Stegostoma tigrinum: one gene and its partners. The protein of the gene in region 2 interacts with the protein of the main gene of each other region in a pairwise test. Links are inferred from orthologs where the notes say so. Each region holds a gene or a part of one and is shown on either strand. Other genes may lie near its edges.

Region 1 (8,192 bases), on a different chromosome or scaffold from region 2:
TCCACAATGATGCCACCCGAAGGTTGCAGGAACAGCAACTCATATTCCGCTTGGGAACCCTGCGGCCCAATGGTATCAATGTGGACTTCACCAGCTTCAAAATCTCCCCCTCCCCCACCGCATCCCAAAACCAGCCCAGTTCGTCTCCCCTCCCCCCTCTGCACCACACAACCAGCCCAGCTCTTCCCCTCCACCCGCTGCATCCCAAAACCAGCCCAGCCTGTCTCTGCCTTCCTAACCTGTTCTTCCTCTCACCCACCCCAAGCCGCACCTCCATTTCCTACCTACTAACCTCATCCCACCTCCTTGACCTGTCCGTCTTCCCTGGACTGACCTATCCCCTCCCTACCTATATTCTCCTCTCCACCTATCTTCTTTTCTCTCCATCTTCGGTCCACCTCCCCCTATTTATTCCAGAACCCTCACCCCATCCCCCTCTCTGATGAAGGGTCTAGGCCCGAAACGTCAGCTTTTGTGCTCCTTGGCCTGCTGTGTTCATCCAGCTTCGCACTTTATTATCTGTGAAGGAATTTCATTGCTCAGAAAAAGTAGAATTCCGGTCATTCACTATTACGGGGAGCTGTGATGGCTAGATCACAAAGTATTTAAAGAGGAAATAGATTTTTAAAAATTGGAGAGTGGGTGGCTACGAGGAGCTGACCAAAAGGAGGGTTGAAGTTTGGGGAAGATCAGCCACGATCTTAAACAATGATGAAGCAAATGCCGAGGGCTGAATAACCTACTCCTGCTCCTATTTCTTATGTTCTTATGGTCCATATGGCTCACATGCTTATCGGTAAATTCAGAGAAAATTTAATAGATATAAACTAATAATAATCAAAGATAATGACCCCAAATCAATTTCTCATCATTAGAGAGAACAGGGAGCTTCTCCATCTGAATTCAAAAGCAGAATGTATCTTCACAGGTACAGGATGCATTACTACCGTTTCAAAACTTTTGGTTGCCTTGTCCAAGTCACATGGCTCTAGATTGCATTTCCTTGCTGAGACAAATGTGCAAAATTCCACAAAGAGATGTCAGAATGTGCAAATTTGAAAAGCACAAATTGATTCTGAAGCTACCTTTATCCATATGTAAGCTAGGTTTTCATAAAGATAACTGAAAACTTCACTGACAAGTTGGTTAATAAAAACAAAAATAAATTGAAAATAAAACTATGCACATCAAGAACTTGTATGTAAAGGAGCTTCATTCAATAATAACTGTATTCACAGACTATACAACATAGATATTTGGTAAAGTCAACAGTAAAAATTGTTTGAATAAAATTTCACAAGGATTTAAACCAGAGGACAATTAATCTCAAACTGCAAAAACTTGAATGCCACCAAGATAGGAAATTACATTTCCTTTAATTTCTAACAGCACAAAAAAATGCATAATCTCATATTTATTACTCTGCAGGAAGTGATACCCATGGGTCGTCATTAGAATCAGACATCAGTCTCTCATGCTAATGAACCCAGTCACCCAGAGACACAAGTGCAGAAAACCGACTTCATGCTTTTTTTGCTGGAGGAGTCTTAAATTGATTAATTTTTCTGATTTGCCCTGCAGCTTCTATAGTAGCCTCAGCCCATCTATAAAAGAATCTTTTGATTACATAAAGTAAAGTTATACTGAGTGGCAAATCACAGAAATAAAGCACATCTTTCATAGATCAAGAGCCAACATTACAAGTGCACACAATCCATTGCATATTACACAAAAATTGAGGACATGCTGCCCATAATTCTCCACATTAGAAAAATTTAATGCTCAAGAAATCACAGACAGCATGCCCAAGATTTGTCAATAGAGTCACCTAGCAGGCAAGGGTCTGTAAGAAACAGACAGACATTCAGGGAACCAGCTCAAGTGCCTCTTTATATCTTAGGCTGAATAAAACCACTGCCCAAGGGCAGAATAGTCAAACTCAATTATTTTGTAGATCACTTACTTCCCTGTTTTTTGGATGTGGCCTCTTGCTGTCAAATTGTTTCCACATTTGCTTGCTGTGGAAGATCACCTCCAGTTGCATCTAGTTACTATTCATAAAAAGTTTTGAAAACTATAATCCTTAGAAATATATATCCAGCAATAAACTAAACAAAAAAAAAATCAGTCAACCCAGAGATTAGCACCCTATAGGGTAAACACCACAGCAACCCATGCGATAGCTCAGCAAGCGTGTATTCTTCTACTGGTGGGTTATTAAATCCACATAATGCAAATCCCATCACATGTAAGAATTTAAAATCAGGTTCCAAAATTTTCAAAACAAAAACAGACTACCACCTAGATGCACATACCTTTTTAATCTCTTAAAGCAACATGGCCAATTGTTAAGGAGTCAGCAAAGTGTATAGCCAGGCCCACAGACAGATCAAAGGAAAATACCAAACCACGAAGAGCCACCAGTATCATAGGGCAATAGAACCAAGATGATCTAGAGGGCATACTTAAGGTGAAAGGACAGAGACTTCTAAAAAAAAGACACAAAGGGCAAATTTTGTTTTTTTTAAAAACAGGGGGTGCCTCTCATGCACAATGAACTTTGCGGAAGTGGTGAATATGAGTACATCTACAACAGTTAAAACACACTGGATAAGTAGCTGAATAGGAAAAGTTCAGAGGGATATGGGCCAGGAGCAGACAGGTGGGACTGGTTTAGTTTAAAAATTACATTCAGCACGGACTGGTCCGTTTCCATGTTGTAGGGCTCTATGTCACAGCAATGAAGGGGGGGCGTCGTTCAGCCTATATTACCAATACCAATCCACAGACACTCTTTCTAACCTAGAGAAGTTGGGGAGCATATCGCCGATGAAAACATCCCAACCCTTACTCAAACAGCAAGTAAAAGAGAACACCCCTACCTCAAACGGGCAAACACACAAGAGAGTCCAGCTGGGTGAATAGTTAACCTTCTTCTGGATGTGGAGGGAGAGGTTGGGTGCAGAATGGGGCACAAGGGGGTAGGGAAGAACACCCGGTGGGCTGGGGATTTGGGTGGGTTGGTGGGGGGGGGGGGGGGAGGTTGCGGAGGAAAGCAGGCACACCGGGTGGGCTGATGATGGGGAGAGGGGGCGGTTGCTGCTGCTGCCGCTGCTGCTGCTGCCTGCCCTTTTGTTGACTGAGTTGCGTGTAGGGCCTGCAGCCACTGACTCATCGCCCGGGCAGGAAGAGGGACGCCGCCATGAACGACGTTATGAAGCTGCAGCGCAGACCGGGGGGGGGGACGACCGCCTTGTTTCGTGTGGGGCGCTCTTTCCTACCGTTCGGGCTGTACCTGAGGGAAGGAGATAGAGACCATACCTGTGGTGAGAGTCCCAAGCGAAGACAGCACTAGCCTGACAGTAATCCGACCCCGCGCACCGCTCGCCAACGACTCCCTTGTTTTCAAATAGCGCGCCGCTGTTCCCGTCCAACGGCCGACCGCGTCCCAGTGACCTCACTCCGCATGCGCGCCCGGGGAAGCACCCTCCTTTGTCTTGGTGTTTGGGGTGGGGGGGTCATTCCTTGCGGCTGCGCAGTCCCTCCCCTCCCCGAAAGAACGCTGCTCACGGCTGTGCGCATGTCCACCCACGGCGTAGGTCACGCCGGTCGCTAGCGCATGCGCACTTCCAACATCAGTACTCTTCTACCTGTGGTAGTCTCAGTGTTTGGAGGAAGACAGGTTCTATTTGTTTCATTTTCATAGTTGTTCCTTCGTGGAGATAAATGGCAAGATTTCTCTCAGGGAAATGTTATTTTTCCACTTGCCCATTGTTTGCTTTATAAGTGAGATAAATATTAACCAGGTATGGACTGCTTTGTGAAGTCCAGTAGAGTAGGTTGGCTCTGTGTCCATCGGAGTTTAAAAGAATAATATGCGACCTTATTGAAGCATATAACATTCTTAAGGAACCTGACAGGGTCGATGCACTAAGGTTGCTTTCCCTTGTGGGAGGGCATCATCTCAAAATGAGGGGGCTGCTCATTTAAGACAGGGTTGAGAAGGAATATTCTTCTCTCAAATGTAGTGGAACTCTGAATCCAGAGGACTTTTGAGGCTGAGTAATTTAGGATATTCCAGGCTGAGATAATGATTAATAAAAAAAAACACTAAGACCATCAGGGGTTATGCGAACACATCAGGAAAGTGGAGTTGAAGGTTATCAATCAGCCAAGAATGGTGGGCAGACTGGATAGCCGACTCCTGCTTCTATGTCTTATCTTTTTCACAGCTTGAAAGAGGAAAGGAAACCACTGTCAGTTTGGAAGCCGTGCCTCAATTTGAGAGGTAATTTTAAGCATATTTTCCTGAAGTATTCATAGAATCCCTACAGTTTGGAAACAGGCCATTCAACCCAACAAGTCCACACTGAACTTCCAAAGAGCATCTCACCCAGACTCACCCCTATCCTTCTAACTCTGCATTTACCATGGCTAATCCACCTAACCTGTACATTCCAAGACACTATGGGCAGTTTAGTATGGCCAATCCAGCTAACCTGCACATCTTTGGACTGTGCGAAGAAACTGGAGCACCCAGAGGAAACGCAGGCAGAACATGCAAACTCCAAACAAACAGTCACCCAAGAGTGGGATCAAACCCAGGCCCTTGGCACTGTGAGGCAGCAGTGCTAACCATTGTGCCACTGTTCCAAGGCTATACGTTATAGTAGCTGTGACTGAATTTATTTCAGTGCAATGTAAATATTGCAATTAAAAAAGTGTTACAAAGAGGTTTGGAAAAATAGCAGAGCTAATAGAACCTATCAGAAATCTGATCCAAAGATAGTAAGAACTACTGATGCTGGAGTCAGTGATAACACACAGTGGAGTAGGAGGAACACAGCAGGCCAGGCAGCTTCAGTGGAGCAGGAAAGCTGACGTTTCTGGTCGGGACCCTTCTTCATTTTCTGAATTAGGGTCCCAACCTGAAACTTCAGCTTTCCTGCTCCTCTGATGCTGCCTGGCCAGCTGTGTTCCTCCAGCTCCACTCTGTGTTATCTCTGAATCCATCCAACCTATTTGTAGTCCAAATCAAGACAGCTGGAATTAGTGCAGTTTGTAATATAGGAAATAGGAGAATTTGTTTCATTCCTTAATGGTTTTCAGGTGTTGCTTATAAGACTAGCATTTATTGTTCACCCCTAATTGCTGTTGAACTGAGTGGCTTAATTCTTAGGCCATTCAGACTGCAGATGAGTCAACAACATTGCGGTGGGTCTGTCATTTTGTATCACTCAGACAAAGCAGGTTTGACTGATTTTTCTCTTCTGTGGGACATCAGAGAACAAGATGGGTTTTTATGATAGTGATAGTAATGGAGACAACAAAACTGGAACTAGTTTTCTTTAATATTCCAAACTTATTAATTTATATTCCACCAGCTGCTGTAACTCCAGAATATGGGCCTGGGCCTCTGGATTGCTATACTAATAGACAATAAACAATAGGTGCAGGAGTAGGCCATTCGGCCCTTCAAGCCAGCACCACCATTCATTATGATCATGGCTGATCATCCACAATCAGTATCCTGTTCCTGCCTTATCCCTATAACTCTTGATTCCACTATCTTTAAGAGCTCTATCCATCTCTTTCTTGAAAGTATGCAGAGACCTGGCCTCCACTGCCTTCTGGCCCAGAGCATTCCATATATCCACCACTCTCTGGGTGAAGAAGTTTTTCCTCAACTCTGTTCTAAATGGCATACCCCTTAATCTTGTTATATCACCAGTACATCACTGCCACCACTAAATGTCTGCAGTAACTGAGAGGATGTAGGAAGGGAGAGTGCTAACAGAAATAATGGATAGTAGATTCTCAGCATGAATGGGAATATGGAGAAAGGGTGCTAACTAAACTGATTTAGTGCCAAGATAATAAAGTGTGAAGCTGGATGAACACAGCAGGCCCAGCAGCATCTCAGGAGCACAAAAGCTGACGTTTCGGGCCTAGACTCTTCATCAGAGAGCGGGATGGGGTGAGGGTTCTGGAATAAATAGGGAGAGAGGGGGAGTGGACCGAAGATGGAGAGAAGAGAAGATAGGTGGAGCGGAGAGTATAGGTGGGGAGGTAGGGAGGGGATAGGTCAGTCCAGGGAAGACGGACAGGTCAACGAGGTGGGATGAGGTTAGTAGGTAGGAAATGGAGGTACGGCTTGGGGTGGGAGGAAGGGATGGGTGAGAGGAAGAACAGGTTAGGGAGGCTGAGACAGTCTGGGCTGGTTTTGGGATGCAGTGGGGGGAGGGGAGATTTTGAAGCTGGTGAAGTCCACATTGATACCATTGGGCTGCAGGGTTCCCAAGCGGAATATGAGTTGCTGTTCCTGCAACCTTCGGGTGGCATCATTGTGGCACTGCAGGAGGCCCATGATGGACATGTCGTCTGAGGAATGGGAGGGAGAGTTGAAATGGTTCGCGACTGGGAGGTGCAGTTGTTTATTGCGAACTGAGCGGAGGTGTTCTGCAAAGCGGTCCCCAAGCCTCCGTTTGGTTTCCCCAATGTAGAGGAAGCCACACCGGGTACAGTGGATACTGTATACCACATTGGCAGATGTGCAGGTGAACCTCTGCTTAATATGGAAACATCTGCAGTTCCCATTATCTCTGATATCCATTGTACCCGGTGTGGCTTCCTCTACATTGGGGAAACCAAGCGGAGGCTTGGGGACCGCTTTGCAGAACACCTCCACTCGGTTCACAATAAACAACTGCACCTATCAGTCGCGAACCATTTCAACTCCCCCTCCCATTCTTTAGATGACATGTCCATCATGGGCCTCCTGCAATGCCACAATGATGCCACCCGAAGGTTGCAGGAACAGCAACTCAAATTCCGCTTGGGAACCCTGCAGCCCAATGGTATCAATGTGGACTTCACCAGCTTCAAAATCTCCCCTTCCCCACCGCATCCCAAAACCAGCCCAGATCTTCCCCTCCCCCCACTGCATCCCAAAACCAGCCCAGCCTGTCTCAGCCTCCCTAACCTGTTCTTCCTCTCACCCATCCCTTCCTCCCACCCCAAGCCGCACCTCCATTTCCTACCTACTAACCTCATCCCACCTCCTTGACCTGTCCATCTGCCCTGGACTGACCTATCCCCTCCCTACCTCCCCACCTATACTCTCCTCTCCACCTATCTTCTATCTTCTTTTCTCTCCATCTTCGGTCCTTCTTCCCCTCTCTCCCTATTTATCCCAGAACCCTCACCCCATCCCCCTCTCTGATGAAGAGTCTAGGACCGAAACGTCAGCTTTTGTGCTCCTGAGATGCTGCTTGGCCTGCTGTGTTCATCCAGCTTCACACTTTATTATCTTGGATTCTCCAGCATCTGCAGTTCCCATTATCTCTGACTTAGTGCCAGGTGACTTTGTGAACCTGAGTATCGGATGTTGGTTTAGTAAAAATCCAAATGTTACAAAAGACCAGTTTTTTTTTCACTAACGTACTCTAGAGGCAAATACTAATTTGCCAAAAATCCTCTTACAAGCTACAAGAAAAGACCAATAGGTGCCTTGAAATATCCACACTCAGACCCAGGAAACTTGATTACTCTTAAGTTGTGAAAGGGCTCCTCAGCTCACTCCAAACTATAGGACAATACTGACGCTCTGAAACATCTCTGTACCAGCAGCTTCAAAGTTTTTTAAAGGAAGAACATTACTGGATAAATTAATTCATCAGGAATAAATCACGTCCTTGAAACAGCTGACTGATGACGTCCCTGTCGCAAAATATTACATTATTTCCATATTTTATCCAGGATCCCATAATGCTCTTTTAAAACCAAGCTGGCTGGACTACAGCTGGCAGCCTACAATACATAGACATCTCTCAAGCACCTCTCAGCCTTCTGCTTAATAATCTCCAGAAACGTAACTGATGCCAAGAAAAATTGATGTACATACTGGGATCAGAACCTGTTACTGTCAGAATAAGGTTGGAATAAAAGACTCAGGCCAGCCCTCACAACCTGTACAAGCCACAGGACAAGAGGCAGTCAGTGAATTGCCAACCCTCAACATTTGGGACCAGGATTCAACATTTGGAAGCAAGTTGCATGACAGTATGTTTTGACAAAAATTAACGCAGAATACATTCACCTCCCCTCAGATGCATTCCTCAACCACACCACAGCTAAAGTGATTCTGACCACTGTTTACTAGAGGCAGCAGTTTTTCGGCAGACGGGAGTTCC
Region 2 (7,775 bases):
TCCTATGGTTCTCTGAGCAGACAGTCAAAGTCATTTGGCAGAATGCTTCATCGCCAGAACTTTCCAACCAGCACCAGCGCATAGTTTAGCTGGTGGTGAGAGGGAAATGCCCGTTCTTTCATGCATCCTGGTCTCTGTTTACCACACACTGCCCTCAAAGAGGCTGCACTGGTGAAGACACATCTCCTTCTGGAATTTACTTTTGCAAAGAAGGTCAGGAGAGAGATGCAGTGGGTTTTGCTGAGTTGTATTCCTTTTGGAAAGATTTTCAATTGGAAAATGTGCATTTAAGTGGGGCATTCAGAAGAGGTAGGAGATTTAAGTAGGATCTAGGTGTCAGTAATTGGCCAGTTAGAATTAAAGATTTTCTAAAGATCAGCAGGAGTGTAAGGCTGTTTATGGTTTTAATGGTCATTGGGTAATTTGCAGAAAGAGGCAAAAGGCATATCAAGTCTATGCTGGCTATCTGCAGAGCAATCCAATCAATCCTCCTACAAGATAATCTCCTGTACCGCTGCTTGTATATTTCTGCACCTATTTCCACAAACCTTTATCTGTTTCTTCTCATCCTTGTGCAATCATCAACAAAAAGGAATAGATTTTCCTTGTGTACCTTATCCAGATCTGTCATGATCTTGTTCAAAAAACAGAAAATGTTGGAGACAATAAACAGGTCAGAGAGTGTCTTTGGACAGAGAAAATTAGTTAATCTTTCAACTTGTTGACATCATCAGAATTTCATGAATTTCCTCCCTTCTTTCAATTTCATCTCTTACTCTTTCCATAGCTTCTCTTTCTCCATTTCTGGTAATATGTTGGCAATGAACATATATTAGAAGTCCACTGACCTCCATGGTCATCTCAACTACACATCTTTGTACCTAGATCCTGTCAGGATTCTATTTCATTCTCCCAGTTCCTCCGTATCCATCACATCTGATGATGTCTTCCAATCTAGTATTTCTGAGATGTCTTTGTTTTGTCTCAACAGAGGATCCCTCTCAGCCTGGTTGACAGGGTCTTTTATTTCAGGTTTCAATCCTTCTGTTCCCTCCCAGAACCCTGACTCCTCACCTTCCATCCATTTTCCAAATATTCCTACCTCTGTATTAAAATAATTATTTTCCACCAATTCCACTACCTACCATGTGAGGCAACTAAAAAATGTCTTTCACTTCCTTCCCCTTTCAGCAGTCCAAAAGGAATGCTCCTTCCATGACACTCTGTTTTACTCCTCAGTCACACAGCCATCCTTTTCCTGGGGCACATTTTTATGTAAAGACAGGAGATGCAATACATGTCAATTCACCTTTACTTTGCTAACTGTCCATTGCCCCAGGACTCCTTCAGGTCAAACAGGAATTTATGTTTCCTTCTTTCAATTTACCATAATGCCTTGTCTGTTCCTCACATAGTCTCCTCTATGGTGGAGTGACCAAATACAGATTAGGTGACCACTTTGTGGAACACCTCTTGAACAAGTCCTCAAGCCTCCTGTGGTCTGTCATTTCAATTCTGCACCTTGCTCTTACACTGACATCTGTGTCATTGTTCCACTGCACTGGATCAGAGAAGATTCATGCAAGGTTGAGAAACAGCACTTCAGTTTTCATTAACCAATTTATAGGCTTTGTCGGAATTCAATTATTTTAGATGGTAAGCTCTGTTGTATCATTTTGTTTACTTCAATGTTTTTCTAATTTTGGCTTTCAGACAGTAGAATGTCAGCTACCGACATATCTTTGTTTCTTTCCCTGCTCTATTGTCTTGCTCTCTTTGAACGTGCAAGATCAACACTTATTATTCAACCTCTCCTGTCTTCCACTCAACAAGAGACCTTCCCTTGCCTACCAATGTCTTGTTCAAATCATATTACATCGCTAACTTTTCCCAAGTTTGATGAAAGATTTGAAACATTCGTTCTTATTTCTCACTCCACAGTGGCTGTCTGACCTGCTGCGTATTTCCTGCATTTATTGTTTTTCTTTCAAACTTGCAGCATTTTGAGTATTGTTGGTAGGTCTCAATTCTGTATGTGATGCTATAATCAGATATTAGGCCTACTTCTTATCCCACTGCAACCTTAAACCAATTAGACACTCTCGCCCTATGTTATCCACAGCATGTGTATTCTCAATGGTGGAAATGCCTGGGCATTTTTTCTTCTGTGTGAAGCACATTCAGAGGAGCTTCCCAAGCTCTTTCGGTTCCCGAGATTTTATTACACCTTTAGCAATTGCTTTATTCCATTTTTACTCTATTGCTTTAACTTCTTTTAGGCCAAATTTTCTTTTTTGGGGCAAGTAGAACCTGATTTAGTTAAATCACTACTCCTCACGACAGAATAAGTCACTTTGTTGTCCTGTTACATCCAGTCAAGAACAGTAAAAGCTAACAGGAGGAGGAGGCTCTATGAACATCATCCGCAACCATGGTGTGAGTGCAGCAAGCCCGTGTGCATGCAAACATATTCCACCACGGTGCTTTCTGTCGTGGTCTCGAGCAATGTAGATGAAGTGTCCAATCAAATCATTACACCCAGTATTAAGGAACAAATAACTACGATGAACACATGCAGCAAAGGTTGGGGGTCCTAACAACATTCCTGGCCCAATTCCAGCACAACTATGACAATGTTTTTTGCAATATCGGCGGTGGTCGCAAAAAGCATAACAGGTCCCATTATTTCCCTACGTGTCGTGAAGGAGTTCCGGGGAATCACATCTTAAAAACAAAGTTTAATGTTTGAGATGAATAACACGCAACTACTATGTGCAGCAGGTGGCACTATATTCCATCTAATGTACACACAAACTTCAGTGTGGTGTAAATACTCTGAAATTTGTTATGAGTGGGTTTCAAATAAATAAGTACTGCTGCAATCAGTATTTCTGTGTGAAAATAACAGAGCAGCCTTTTGAAAGGCAAGTCTGGAAAAATGAGCATCTTAGTTGAGTTCCCACCGTAATGTAAGGACCGTCGCGCTGTACAGCTCGGTTCTACATGAAGCTTACAATGTGATTGACGAGGCTTATTAACGTCATTCTGAATTTCAAACCAATTCAGATTTTTAAAAAAAGATATTATCTGCATATTTCTGAAGACACACTGAAATGTTACCGTTTCCATTTTACCTGTTAAATATAACAAGAAACCGACCGTAGATTACATGGTCCACGGAATTAATTCTAAAATTATACAGAATAATGAGAAAGAAATCAGGCGATCTTTGAGAAACCACTTTTTTAAACCGTGTTTGTGGATAAAAACTGCTACTCACCGTATTAACGTTCAGAGTTTTATTTCAGAATGTTTCGTCAAATGGCGTCCACCATTTCTGACAGGCAGAGGCTATAACATCGGTAATAAAACGCGCACGTAGATGCATGCAAATGATTGAAAACGTTATTTATCTTAACTGTATAATTATCGAACCTACAATCCATGTTAACCAAAGATAGTTCGTTTGAATGATAATCGTTATCTACTAAGGAGTAAATATGCTAATAAATGCTCATTCTCCCTCAATCGACGGGAACAGCTAAATTACAGTAAAGCGGGCGATAAATCTACGTCTTCAAGTACTAACATGTATGTGGATAATAACAATAAAAGATCATAAACTGAATAATACGAATACTGTACTGAGTACCTGCCAATTAGGCCTTATTCATTTTACCTATAATCTCAGCCATTCAGCAATAGTATGAAATGCATAAAAACAGCTGAAGTACAATGAACCACTCAGAGGCTTTATGGTGCAGTGGCAGTGCCCCTTCTTATGGGCCGGAAGTCCTGGATTCAAGTCCTACACCTGTTCCCAAGATGTGTCATGAACATGACTGTACAGGTTGCTTAAAAATATCTATTAGGAACTATCGAAAGCATTAAATGCCAAACCTCAATCACACCAATAAAGCAGCAGTCGGATGTAACTTTTTGGTAAATCCTTGTCTATAAGCATCACTTACATTCGGTCAAAAATTGGAATTAAAAAGCAGATCGCAAGAGCATTTATTACCCACACATATTTTCACCGTAGTCCAACTAATTTTGTGGCTACTTTATGAATAGGTTTATAGAAAAGTATTGCGCTTTCTGTTTTTTTAAAGGCTTTGTGAGGTGGTGCAACATTAATGGCTACAGCAACAGAAAGGTGCTGCGGATGGTGGAAATGTGAAATAACGTTAAAAATATTCTGAAAATCAGGCAGCATCTGCGAAGAAATTGCCAGATTTATCTATTCAGGTCGCTGACCTTTCATCGCCATGTGTTTATAGCTAATTTCTGTTTAATCCCAAAGACGAATCTGTAATCCATTAATGGTTATTAGAAGCGTCCGAGAATTTTAAGTATTTATACACTTGTTTTCAAAGCATTGTGTTTTTAAAGAAAATAGGATGGGAAGCTGACCTTTAATATATATTCCACTGACAAAGTTGGTGTCACAGCAGGTTTTTATTCGTAATACCATATGTGCACTTGACATCTCGATGAGCCTTGAGTTTATTTGCTGGAGGATGGAGGGGTTTCTACAGGAGATTATTATCAGTAACTCTGATTACTTTGATTATTTCTAACTCAATTATCTAAATTAAATTTTGTAATATGCGAAAAATCCGTTTCTGATTCATTTGATTATAGGTCAATACAAAAAATACCCTTTCGTAAGTAACAGTGATTGACTATTCTACTCCGAATAACTAACGATCCAGTTATGTATATTAATTTATTTTGATTTCGCAGAACAGAAAGAGGATTTCCACCCCAGCCAAATTATCGAAAGCTGGAAGCGGTCAGTCCCTCAAAAAATGAAAAATACCAATTGCATAATTCAAGGTAAACCGCGACAAGTTGTCTACATTTTAAAACCCTGGATGTCTCCTTGTACTGTTGATCCTACCAGCCAGAAAAAGACCAACTCAGGTTTAGTTGCATTGTCGTGCAGTTTAGTTAGTTCCTGCAAATGCTTGAGAAATTGAGTGCCAAGCTTTGCAGGATATGGTGTCCGGAAATGAAGAAGGGGCTGAACATTTACCTGAAACACGAAACGTTGGCCACAGGAGCGGCGCTGAGTTCCAATTGACGTCACTCACCTGACAAAGAGCCCATCACGCGCCGACCGGCGGCGGCAGCCCCGCCCAATCACCGCCCTCATCTCTTTCCCATTGGCTGACTTCTCGGACAGGGCGCTACCCCATAGGTTGAGGCGTCCCTTTCCCCGCCCCTCTATTTCCGCTTGTGGAATCAAGAGGCTCGTCAACATGGCGATGAGCTGTCATCCATCGCGCCGACAAATTCACAGTTACTTCGAAATGGTACGGGCAATGATGGGCGGACTGCGAGTGCTTCCACTCCATCAATAAAAGCAAACCCTGTTTTGTTTTCAGTCTGGGTGTTAGGCGTCGAGGAGGACTTTGTCGCACTATGTCTCTACTTTGTGTCAGAGGTGAGTGTTGCTAAGGGGTGTGTTCGGGGGCGGGTGGTTGGGGTGGAGAGGCCTGGGGCACAAAATAGGTGGTACCCACCCTGATGTCTTCCAGACATCGGCTCGCCTGCTCCACGTATCCCACAGCAGTCGTTGGACTGAAAAAGTGTCGATCGCCTCTCATCTTGAACAAGTCAGTAGACTTGTTGCTGTTGCATCCGTCACTTATTTTTATTTTATATTTGTACAGTAAATTTGATTGATCTGACAGGTGTGTCTGAAGAGTAGCTTTTTCTGCGACAGCATCTGTCTTTTCCTGAATCTCATCTTCCACCCCGTTTCTACTGTTAATATGCGTGTTTGGAATTTTTCGGACAAACTGCTGGTTTATATTCCAAACGGTGATAGTGAATAAAACTTTTAGTCTGGCAGATTGTATGTGCTATGTATGGTTTGCTTGCCCGATCTGAAATCTTTTGAGTGAGAAGAATCAGTTCAGTATTTAAATACTCGTCTTTAGATCTCATCTGGGTGTATTCGCTACAGTGTTATCTCTTGTGAAACAGGATGGGGTTTTGATCAAGTCCGTTTCTATGGGAATTGATCTAAAGCTTCCTCTTGGAAGGCAGTTATTTCAGCAGATAAGCGGATGGGATAAGCTGTCAATGTTTGCAGCACAAATTTCGTCCGTTTGGATTTTTAGATGAAGTGAGACCCAGCGAAGAATTGTGTGAGGGAAAGCCTCGCTTAAACGCAAGAGGTTGAACTGATTTTAAACCAGTTAATTACTTTCCGCTCTGGGTTTTGATTTGTGCTATTACCGGAACACTTGTTTTTACAGTAACTAAAATGTTATACTGGACGCATCGTTGGCTGCCGAGCTTGGCTGGGCAGAAAGGTTTCAGTTTGCTTTGTTCGCTTTGCTTTGGTCGTTTAATAAATGTTGTACGTATGAAGAAACTCAATATCGTTTTAATGATTGGATGTAAGTGTAATTATTTGTCATTTTACCCGCACTTACAAGACTTAGTATGGCTAATACTGATCTGTTGAGAGAGTAAAGATAAATGTGGAACCCGATGCGCCCAAGGCTCTCTAACCTATTAAATGTTACATTTTCTGCAGATCTTAGTTCATTCAATTTAAATACCATTCCATTTGTTGCAATCCGCAAAGATTTCAGTATTATCCCTCTTTAATCGGATTTTGCAGCAATTCAAAATCATAAAGTCTTTGCATATCTGTACCCTTCAGTATCGCGGGAAACATTAGGTACCCGAAAAGGCATGGAATGGAAAATAAGTCAGCCAATTTTCATCTTGGATAATATATGATGCTTCCCTTTCCACCTGTTCAGTGACAATATCGTATTGCCAAATCTCAGATTAGTCTGGCATTTGCCGTTCAATAGAAACTATAATTTCTAATTTCGACGAAGTAGTTAAGCAGTTCAGAGAATGTGGAAATTATGTTTTAAGGAACACAATTTTCTGTTAGATATTGTTTTGCCCTAAGGTATTCCGTATCTCAGAAATTTAATTTTAATTTTACATTGTGACCATGAATGAGTTACAGAGATTTTCTACTCTAGTGTTCAGCTGACCAACGGTATTGTTACAAAACTGCATTTTTCAGTTTTGTCAGAAGCTATCCTTTGACCTTAGAAAAAGTAGTTACAATACCTAATTTTGTGCCTTTGTCAATACTAGTAACACTGAAAGAATAGTATACCTACAGCTGAACTGCTATTAGATGGTTATTTTTCATCACATGCAAAGCAACCTAGATGATTTATTCTTTAATTCCCCAGGCTTTGTGCTTGTGGTTAAATCACTGAACAACATATATCTGGTCTAAGAAAGATATGTCTGGCTCTTGGAGTGAAAGGCTAATAAAGCAGAGTACAGAAATACAAAGTACTGGAGAAACTTGGGAAGTTTGGCAGCATCAGTGGAAAGAGAAACAGTACTGAAATAACTCTTTGGATGTACTGAGTTTCCCCAGCAATTTTTGCTTTAATTGCAGATTTCCTGCATGTCCAGTGCTTTGCTTTTCTGCAGAGAACAGATGCCAGTCATCAACTGATGCCATGTGATATTAAGAAATAAATGAATACACTGGGTACTGCAAAGGCTGTGGATTCTGGCAGCATTCTGGCAATAATATTTGAGATGAATAAAACAAAGAATTGTGTGCATGCTGGACATCTGAAACGAAAACAGAAATTGCTGGCAACTCAGCATGCCTGACAGCATCGGTGGGGAGAAAGCCGAATCAAAGATTCTTCACTTCAGCTGCTGAGTTTTGCCAGCAATTTCTGTTTTTGAATAATGTGTTCCAAAACTAA
Region 3 (7,955 bases), on a different chromosome or scaffold from region 2:
TTCAGGCCTAGAGCCTTCATCAGAGAGGGGGATGGGGTGAGGGTTCTGGAATAAATAGGGAGAGAGGGGGAGGTGGACCGAAGATGGAGAGAAAAGAAGATAGGTGGAGAGAGTATAGGTGGGGAGGTAGGGAGGGGATAGGTCAGTCCAGGGAAGACGGACAGGTCAAGGAGGTGGGATGAGGTTAGTAGGTAGTTGGGGGTGCGGCTTGGGGTGGGAGGAAGGGATGGGTGAGAGGAAGAACAGGTTAGGGAGGCAGAGACAGGTTGGACTGGTTTTGGGATGCAGTGGGTGGAGGGGAAGAGCTGGGCTGGTTGTGTGGTGCAGTGGGGGGAGGGGACGAACTGGGCTGGTTTAGGGATTCAGTTGGGGAAGGGGAGATTTTGAAACTGGTGAAGTCCATATTGATACCATTAGGCTGCAGGGTTCCCAGGCGGAATATGAGTTGCTGTTCCTGCAACCTTCGGGTGGCATCATTGTGGCACTGCAGGAGGCCCATGATGGACATGTCATCTAAAGAATGGGAGGGGGAGTGGAAATGGTTTGCGACTGGGAGATGCAGTAGTTTGTTGCGAACTGAGCGGAGGTGTTCTGCAAAGCGGTCTCCAAGCCTCCGCTTGGTTTCCCCAATGTAGAGGAAGCCACACTGGGTACAGTGGATGCAGTATACCACATTGGCAGATGTGACAGATCAGATGTTTGATGTCAGATCAGATCAGATCAGAGACAGACAGATGTTTGATTTCTCAGGAAATCAAGGAACATGGGAAACTTCTGGAAAAGACAGGTCAAGCACAATGTTAGTTATGACTAAATGACAGAGCAGGCTCACAGAGCCAAATGGTTCACTGCTGCTCCTATTACTTCTTTCCTTAAGCGAAGCCGAGAAACAGTCTCTTGGGGATTTTGTGGGCAATGAAGCGTTTGATCAGCCACGATTATATTGAATGGTGAGACAGGTGTGATGAATGGAATAGCCTAATCCTATTTCTATGCAAGGAACTGTCCATCTTCAGTATCACTGGTTTCTGGATAGCCAAATAGTTAGCTTACTCACCTCCTGGTGCTGGTCAAAGACAGTGTTAAAATCTCTGAATCCAGAACCAGTAAATTCCCCAAAGATGCGTCTGAAAAGCTCCTCTGGATCCACTGAAGGCCCTGAATGCCAGTATTCCTGACTCCTTGACCCTCCTGCATCAAATCCAACTCTCCCATAAGAGTCATACTGTTTCCGCTTCACTTCATCACTCAGAACCTGTAATGCACAATTAATATCGATCAGAGCTGGAAACCAATTAACAAATAAACTCAGGAATAACGATCCCTAGGAATCCTGTATTACTGTTTGAGAATAGACACTGATTGTCACACAATTTTCACAGTTTTTTACCTCAAGTTAGAATATTCATACTGTGGTGTTGTTCTTTAGAGATTACCTAACTATTCAGTTGTGCTGGTAGTGGCACATGAATAGAACACTGGTTCCTTCACCCACAACTCCCAGCTACACACACAATTCTCAACCCCTCTCTTCCCTCCACGAAAAGTGGAAATGCTGTGGCTGTGCTGACATCTGCTGTCCACCTCCCCACATGATCAGCCAACTCGGAGCCCAGAAACTCCCTTCCGGACTAGACAGCTTGTGCAATACAGTTAGGGGCTTTCATTGCAATACATTCATTACCTCATATGCTTCTGCCACTTGGGAAAATTTCTCCTTTGCCTTTGGATCATCTTTGTTTGTATCTGGGTGGTATTTCTTTGCAAGCTGTATATGCAAGAACACAAGATTTATTCAAAGCTACAAGTAGTTATAACTGAAACCAATCTTTCCCCTGTAGGCTTTGCTGGGATAAGTACTCCAACTATTAAAATAGGTTTGATTAAGACAAATTTCCCAATGTAATTCTTTTCCATGTTTTTGTTTAAAGTATACACCAGACAGTGTTGCAGTGATAGTGCCCCTCTGCCGAAGTGGTTCAGGTTCAAGTCCTATCTACCCCAGACAAATTTCATGACATATCTGCACCAGACAGTCACCACCGCAGACATATTATTTTAAAAGCGGCTTCATTTATAAGAGAGAATTCAAATTTGACCCAGTAGATACTGTCTAGATTCAGATTCATCAGTTAAAATTGGCCACTTGCAACTCTTGATGTCATGAAAGTGGACTAGCAAATTCAGCTCCTTCATGACAAGGAGGGAGAGGAAGACATTAAAGTAAATTAAATTTGACTAAGATTCCAATTACACAATTCAATTTGATGAGCTGGAAAAATTATTCTGGTCGATGGCTTGGTGCAATTAAAAAAAATTCCCACTGATTACTTGTATAAATACAGGAACTTAAGTTGTAAGTCTGGTTTAAATGACATTCGCTTCTCATACCTGATAATAAGCTTTCTTTATCTCTCTTTGCGTTGAGTTGCGAGGGATCCCCAACACCTCATAATAATCAGTTTTGGCTAAAGGAGAAGCTGTATGAAATGCAGCAACACCTAGAGAATTTGGTGAACAAGCTTGAGGCAAATGAAAGGGAAAAGAACAATTAGGAAAAACACCCACAATCTCCCGCATTTAAAAAAAAACTATAAACCATTTTCGTCCTTGCATCAAGAAGTGACATCGTTTTCTCCTCTGACTAACGGCAACAGCTACATCTGATGCTCATGATTCATCGCAAGCAAGTCCAAATCTTTCCTTACCAGACAATCTATCCCCAGTGGGATAATGCCTGGGAGTACAGACACTGCCCTGATTGTGGAGGGGAGCATTGACACTGCCCTTCCAGGGGTCGCTTGAATTTCCTCTCTGTCATGGGGCGAGACAGGCCATGCAATAGTTACCAGGCCGACGCCAGCCGAACCTGCTCGCTTTCCTTACCGGACAGCCGCAATCTTAGTTCCAGGCCGAACCTGAGACCCAGACCACCAGCCGATAACAATCCAGGGCCCAGACAAAAGGCAGTACGGAGACCCCGAGTGGCGAGTATCCGCACGGTGCCAGGCCGGGCTCCAGCCAATGGGTTCCAGGTCACCGACACCAAGCGAAGGTAGCACCGTGCAGCCGCCATCTTAGCGCCTGCGCAGACCAACAACCCTTTCCGGTCCTGCACATGCGCACAACCGTCCCATAATCATATTGCGCCTGCGCAACAAGCCTAGTTGCCTCGTAGCCTGGAGTTAGGTTCATCCACCGTCAGTTATGTGTTAGGCCTATGCTCCCATCCAGGGAAGTATTGCTGCACTGCTACAGAGGTCATCTTTTTGCTGAGACATTAATTTGAGACGGTGTCTATCCTCCCAGCCCGGTGAAAATGATTTAATGATACTATCTCGGTACAAACATGATGGGCGAAATAGCCTCTTGCACCATTGATTCTGTGCTTATTCAGAGACTTAGGTGGATAGCTTTAGGCTGATTTCTTGTACATGTATTTATTATTTAAACAATTTCCCTTAAAGAAAGCTGCTGGTGTGTTTCCTTGATTTAACTTAGATACTGTACCTTTTTATGTCTTGCTCTGTTGGCATTTGTCCTCAGCTTATTTTGACTCATACAAGTCGAATTTTGTTTTGTCTCGTTTTATCATCAGGGAGGAATGAGGGTTCTGACTTCCTTTTTAACTTAAGGCAAGGCCCACAGATTCAAACATTAATTACTTTCAATCAACCTGTTCAAAAACATAACTGGGGAAAGTGGGATTTGGTATCTAGCCCAAAGGTACAGGCACTACCAATGTACTGGAGGCTCCAGATTTAAACCTTACAAGGATGCAGTTGTTAATCAGTAGGAGCTCCTGCTTGTGGAAACTTCGGTGCTCTCTGGCATGGAATGAGGCAAAAATTGCTACTCCAAAATCTAACAAAGGATTTTGGAAACTGCAAACAGTAAAGCGAGTGATCATACCATACATTCTATAGAGATTTCATTGTGAATATAGTTTTGCTTACCTACTTGCTGCTATGAAGTCTTGCTGACAGGACCTGTAGTTGACAGCACCTAGACAATGGATTTCATGGCTTTTACTGGTCGGCAAAGTCTTCTACAAGGAACAACGAGTAGCTGGGGACTTGCAGAGACTTCTCCATTGTATCAATCTTACTTCATAGTTAGAAAGTTCAAATCCTGTTCCAGATATCTAAACTCATAATCCAATGGAGTACTGAATAAGTGAGTATTGTAACTGTTAAGATACCTCAGAACACTCTAATAATACTCATCAGACATTTTACTACATTTAGTGGTGATATATAAACACAAATCATTGTTGACACAACATATCAGATGTTTGCAGGCAAGATTTAAAACTGTCCTGTAAATGAGTTGTGCAGTGTTCTTTTGTTCTTGCTCCCACCAATTGAGGCCCACACTCCATCTGTGCATGACACGGTGGCACAGTGGTTTAGCACTCCTGCCTCATTGTGTCTGGGGCCTGGGTTTGATCCTAGTTTTGGCAACTAGTTGGGCAACAAGTTTTGTTTACACATTCTCCCTGTGTCTGTGTCAGTATCCTCTAGGTACTGCCGTTTCCTCCTACAGTCCAAAGATTTACAGATTAGGTGGCTTGGCCTTGGTAAATGTAGATTATGGGGATTGGGTCGGCTGCTCTTTGGAAGGTTAGTGCAGAACTTGACAGGCTGAATGGCCTCTTTCCATACTGTAGAGATTCATATGTCTATAGGCACTTACCTATTAAGAATTTCCCCATGTAATTCCTAGGTTCCACCCATTGTCTCAAGAATCCTCCACTTTATGCACTTTCTTTATTCACTCGTGGTGAATTTCTGCAGTGCATCTTGTCGCTAGTAGACACTGCTGCATCTGAACATTGGTGGTGGAGGAAGAAGTGAATGTTTGTGAATGAGCGTTGACCTCAGGCTATTCCCATTTACTCCACTAATTGCTGGCTTGCTCTTGTGAGCCGTGTCACTCTCTCCTGTGGAGGAGGTGCTATTTTGGCTGGACAGCTGGTCCGTAATGCACAGTGATCCCGACAGTGTGGGTTCAGTTTCTGCGCTGGTAGAAGTTAACACGAAGGATTCTCATCCTCAGGCTATCACCTCGCCTGAAGTATCATGTTAAACCCACCGGCAGTCGTAACTCTTGTTTTGTGAGACAGTGATGCTGTACGATTGTGGAGATTTACCTCTTCAATCTAACATTGCAGCAGTGGGCGGTGCCTCTGATTGTCTGGTGGACGGGCGCGCTGGCTGCGGGGATGTGCAAGGCGTGGCCCGGTCCCACCCCTCCCCTCCCCTGTGTGGCTGTTCCAGTCGTTCCCGGCTATTCGGACAGGTGGAGCAATCGTTTGTCTAGTCGCTGTTAGAGCGGGAGCAATGAACCGCTTCCGAAGCTCGAAGTATAAGAACACGGCACCGCGGCTTCCGGGCCGGGCGGTGAGTATCAGGGAAGGGAACAATTACCCCATTAGAGGGTAAGAGGGAGGATACTGTTCTGGGATAGGGCTGTTCGGGGCCGTGCTCTGCCCTCGGGTTCCATTGCTCCTTCCGCACCTCCCTCCAGCCCGTGTCCCTCGCTGGGTGTTGCAGGTACGGGCTCCCCCGGGACCTGGCCCTGTCACCCTTGAGGTTCAATTGCTGCGGAAGCCGTTGCTTCCTGTGAGGAAGTTGCAGTGATCGAGCTCTGAACGCTTTAACACAAATTCTGTTCTAGGTTGCCATAGAAGAAGCAGCAGCAGCAGCAAAGAGAATTCTAGCCTCCTCACGCTTACCTTTCTGTAGTGCCTTTCTCATTTTCGGCAGGTACTTCTGAAATGTAGTCAATGTTGCAAAGCAAATAACGGAACAGCCAATTTATGTACCGCAAGGTCTAAATCAACAACGTGATAGTGACCAGTTTTCTAGATCATCTATTTTTGTGGTGCTGTTTGTATAGTCAGTATTGGCTTGAATGTAAAAGAATGTGCAGGGGGGTACTTTATATCTACGTGAGAGGGCAGATAGGGATCCAGGTTCAATGTCTCAGCCAAAAGATTGAGTGCTGCCCTCTCTAACGGGTCGTAGAATCGTACAGCACGAAAATAGGCCCTTTGGTCCAACTCATCGGTGCTGAACAGATTTCCAAAATTAACCTAGACTTATTTGCCAGCATTTGGCCCATGTCTCTCTTAAACCGTTCCTATTCGTGTACACATCCAGATGCCTTTTAAATGTGTCTCTGACACTCCGTGGAAAATAGCCTTAGCCTATTTAACCTCTTCCTACAACTGAAGCTCTCCAACCCCAGCAACATCCTTGTAATCTTTACTGCACCCTTTCAAGTTTAACAACACTTTTTTTCCTACAGCAGGGAGACCAGAATTGAGTGCAGTATTCCAACAGTGGCCTAACTAATGTCCTGTATAAGACCATAAGACAGAGGAGCAGAAATTAGGCTGTTCGGCCCTTCAAGTCTGTTCTGCCATTCAATCATGGCTGATAAGTTCCTCAGCCCCATTCTACTGGTTTCTCCCCGTAGCCCTTGATAATCAAGAACGTATCTATCTCAATCTTAAATGTACTCAATGACCTGGCCTCCACAGCCTGCTTTGGCAGTGAATTCCATTGATTCACCAATCTCTAGCTAAAGTAGTTTCTCCTTATCTCTGCTCTAATAGGTCTTCCCTTTTACTCTAAGGTTGTGCCCTTGGGTCCTAGGCTGTCCAATCAATGGAAGCATCTTCCCAACATCCCCTTTGTCCAGGCCATAAAGTATTCTGAAAGTTCAATTAATTGCCCCCAGCCTTCCAAACTCCAATGAGTATACTCTGAGTCCTCAAACATTCCTCGTATTTTAAGCTTTCCATTCCTGTGACCATTCTCGTGAACCTCCTCTGAACCCGCTCCTGGGCCAGTACATCCTTCTCGAGATATGAGGCCCAAAACCGCACACCATACTCCAATGTGGCCTGACCAGTGCCTTCCAAAGCCCCAGCAGTACATCCCTGCTTTTATATTCAAGACCTCTACAGCATGACTTCTCAACTCCTGTCCTCCATGCACTGGCCAATAAAGGCTAGTGTACCAAATGCCGCCTTCACTATCCTATCTACCTACAACTCCATATTCAAGGAACTATGAACATGCACCCAAAGGGCTTTTTGTTCAGCAATACTCCCCATTAAGTACACAAGTCCTGTCCTGATTTGCCTTTTGAAAATGCAACACCTCACATTTATCTAAACTCAACTCCATCTGCCACTCCCTGGCCCATCTGAACAAGGTCCTGTTGTATTCCTTTATTCGTTCACGGGATGAAGGCATCACTGGCCAGAGCAGCACTTATTGCCCATCACTAATTGCCCAGAGGGCAGTTAAGAATTAACCCTGATGCTGTGGGTCTGGGGTCACACATAGGGTAGACCAGGTAAGGATGCCAGTTTCCTTCCCTAAATGGCATTAGTGAACCAGATGGGATTTTCTGACAATCAGCAATGGTCATCATCCAGATATTTATTGAATTCAAATTCCGTCATCTGCCACGGTGGGATTTGAATCCAGATCCCTGGAATGTTACCTCGGTCTCTAGATTAACAGTCCAGTGATAATACCGCTAGGCCATTGCCTCCCCAATAATTTCTGAGATAACTTTCTTTACTGTTCACTACACCACCAATTTTGGTGTAATCTATAAATTTACTAACCATTCCTCCTCTAATTGCATCTAAATCATTTATATAAGTGACATAAAGCAGTGGACTGAGCACTGACCCTCCGGCACCCTATCGCTGGTTACAGTCCATTGCCCCCACCACCCTCTGTCTCCTACGTTTAAGCCAATTTTGCATCCAAGTGGTAGTTCTCCCTGGATTCCATGTGATCTAACCTTACTAAGCAGTGTACATCTTGTCAAGCGCCTTGTTGACAATCATGATCTATATGCTGGGTGTAGGCAGGGTCAAAAGTCTTCACAAGATCCTTCATGCATCAGTTGAAGTATTTTGAATACTA

Evidence for each region.
Region 1: the proteins of atos homolog protein B (region 2) and kif20a interact in binary tests that used the Homo sapiens proteins (3 or more experiments, as listed by UniProt). The two-hybrid records come from large-scale screens. The link is inferred for Stegostoma tigrinum from reciprocal best matches to the Homo sapiens genes ATOSB and KIF20A.
Region 3: the proteins of atos homolog protein B (region 2) and dnaJ homolog subfamily A member 3, mitochondrial-like interact in binary tests that used the Homo sapiens proteins (3 or more experiments, as listed by UniProt). The link is inferred for Stegostoma tigrinum from reciprocal best matches to the Homo sapiens genes ATOSB and DNAJA3.

Annotation. Positions count from the first base shown.
Region 1 is NC_081366.1:76,636,450-76,644,641, forward strand, and holds the start of kif20a (kinesin-like protein KIF20A), read right to left. Parts: upstream 3,501-8,192; 5' UTR 3,322-3,500; intron 2,958-3,321; exon of another isoform or gene 2,883-2,957; intron 1-2,882. UniProt on the Homo sapiens protein: Mitotic kinesin required for chromosome passenger complex (CPC)-mediated cytokinesis. Following phosphorylation by PLK1, involved in recruitment of PLK1 to the central spindle. Interacts with guanosine triphosphate (GTP)-bound forms of RAB6A and RAB6B.
Region 2 is NC_081354.1:132,723,421-132,731,195, reverse strand, and holds the start of atos homolog protein B, read right to left. Parts: upstream 3,349-7,775; 5' UTR 3,281-3,348; intron 1-3,280. Other genes in the region: protein unc-13 homolog B, read left to right, coding at 5,428-5,449. UniProt on the Homo sapiens protein: Transcription regulator that may syncronize transcriptional and translational programs.
Region 3 is NC_081376.1:32,396,414-32,404,368, forward strand, and holds the start of dnaJ homolog subfamily A member 3, mitochondrial-like, read right to left. Parts: upstream 3,096-7,955; 5' UTR 3,077-3,095; coding exon 2,887-3,076; intron 2,523-2,886; coding exon 2,392-2,522; intron 1,769-2,391; coding exon 1,685-1,768; intron 1,256-1,684; coding exon 1,058-1,255; intron 1-1,057. Other genes in the region: coro7 (coronin-7), read left to right, coding at 5,343-5,402. UniProt on the Homo sapiens protein: Modulates apoptotic signal transduction or effector structures within the mitochondrial matrix. Affect cytochrome C release from the mitochondria and caspase 3 activation, but not caspase 8 activation.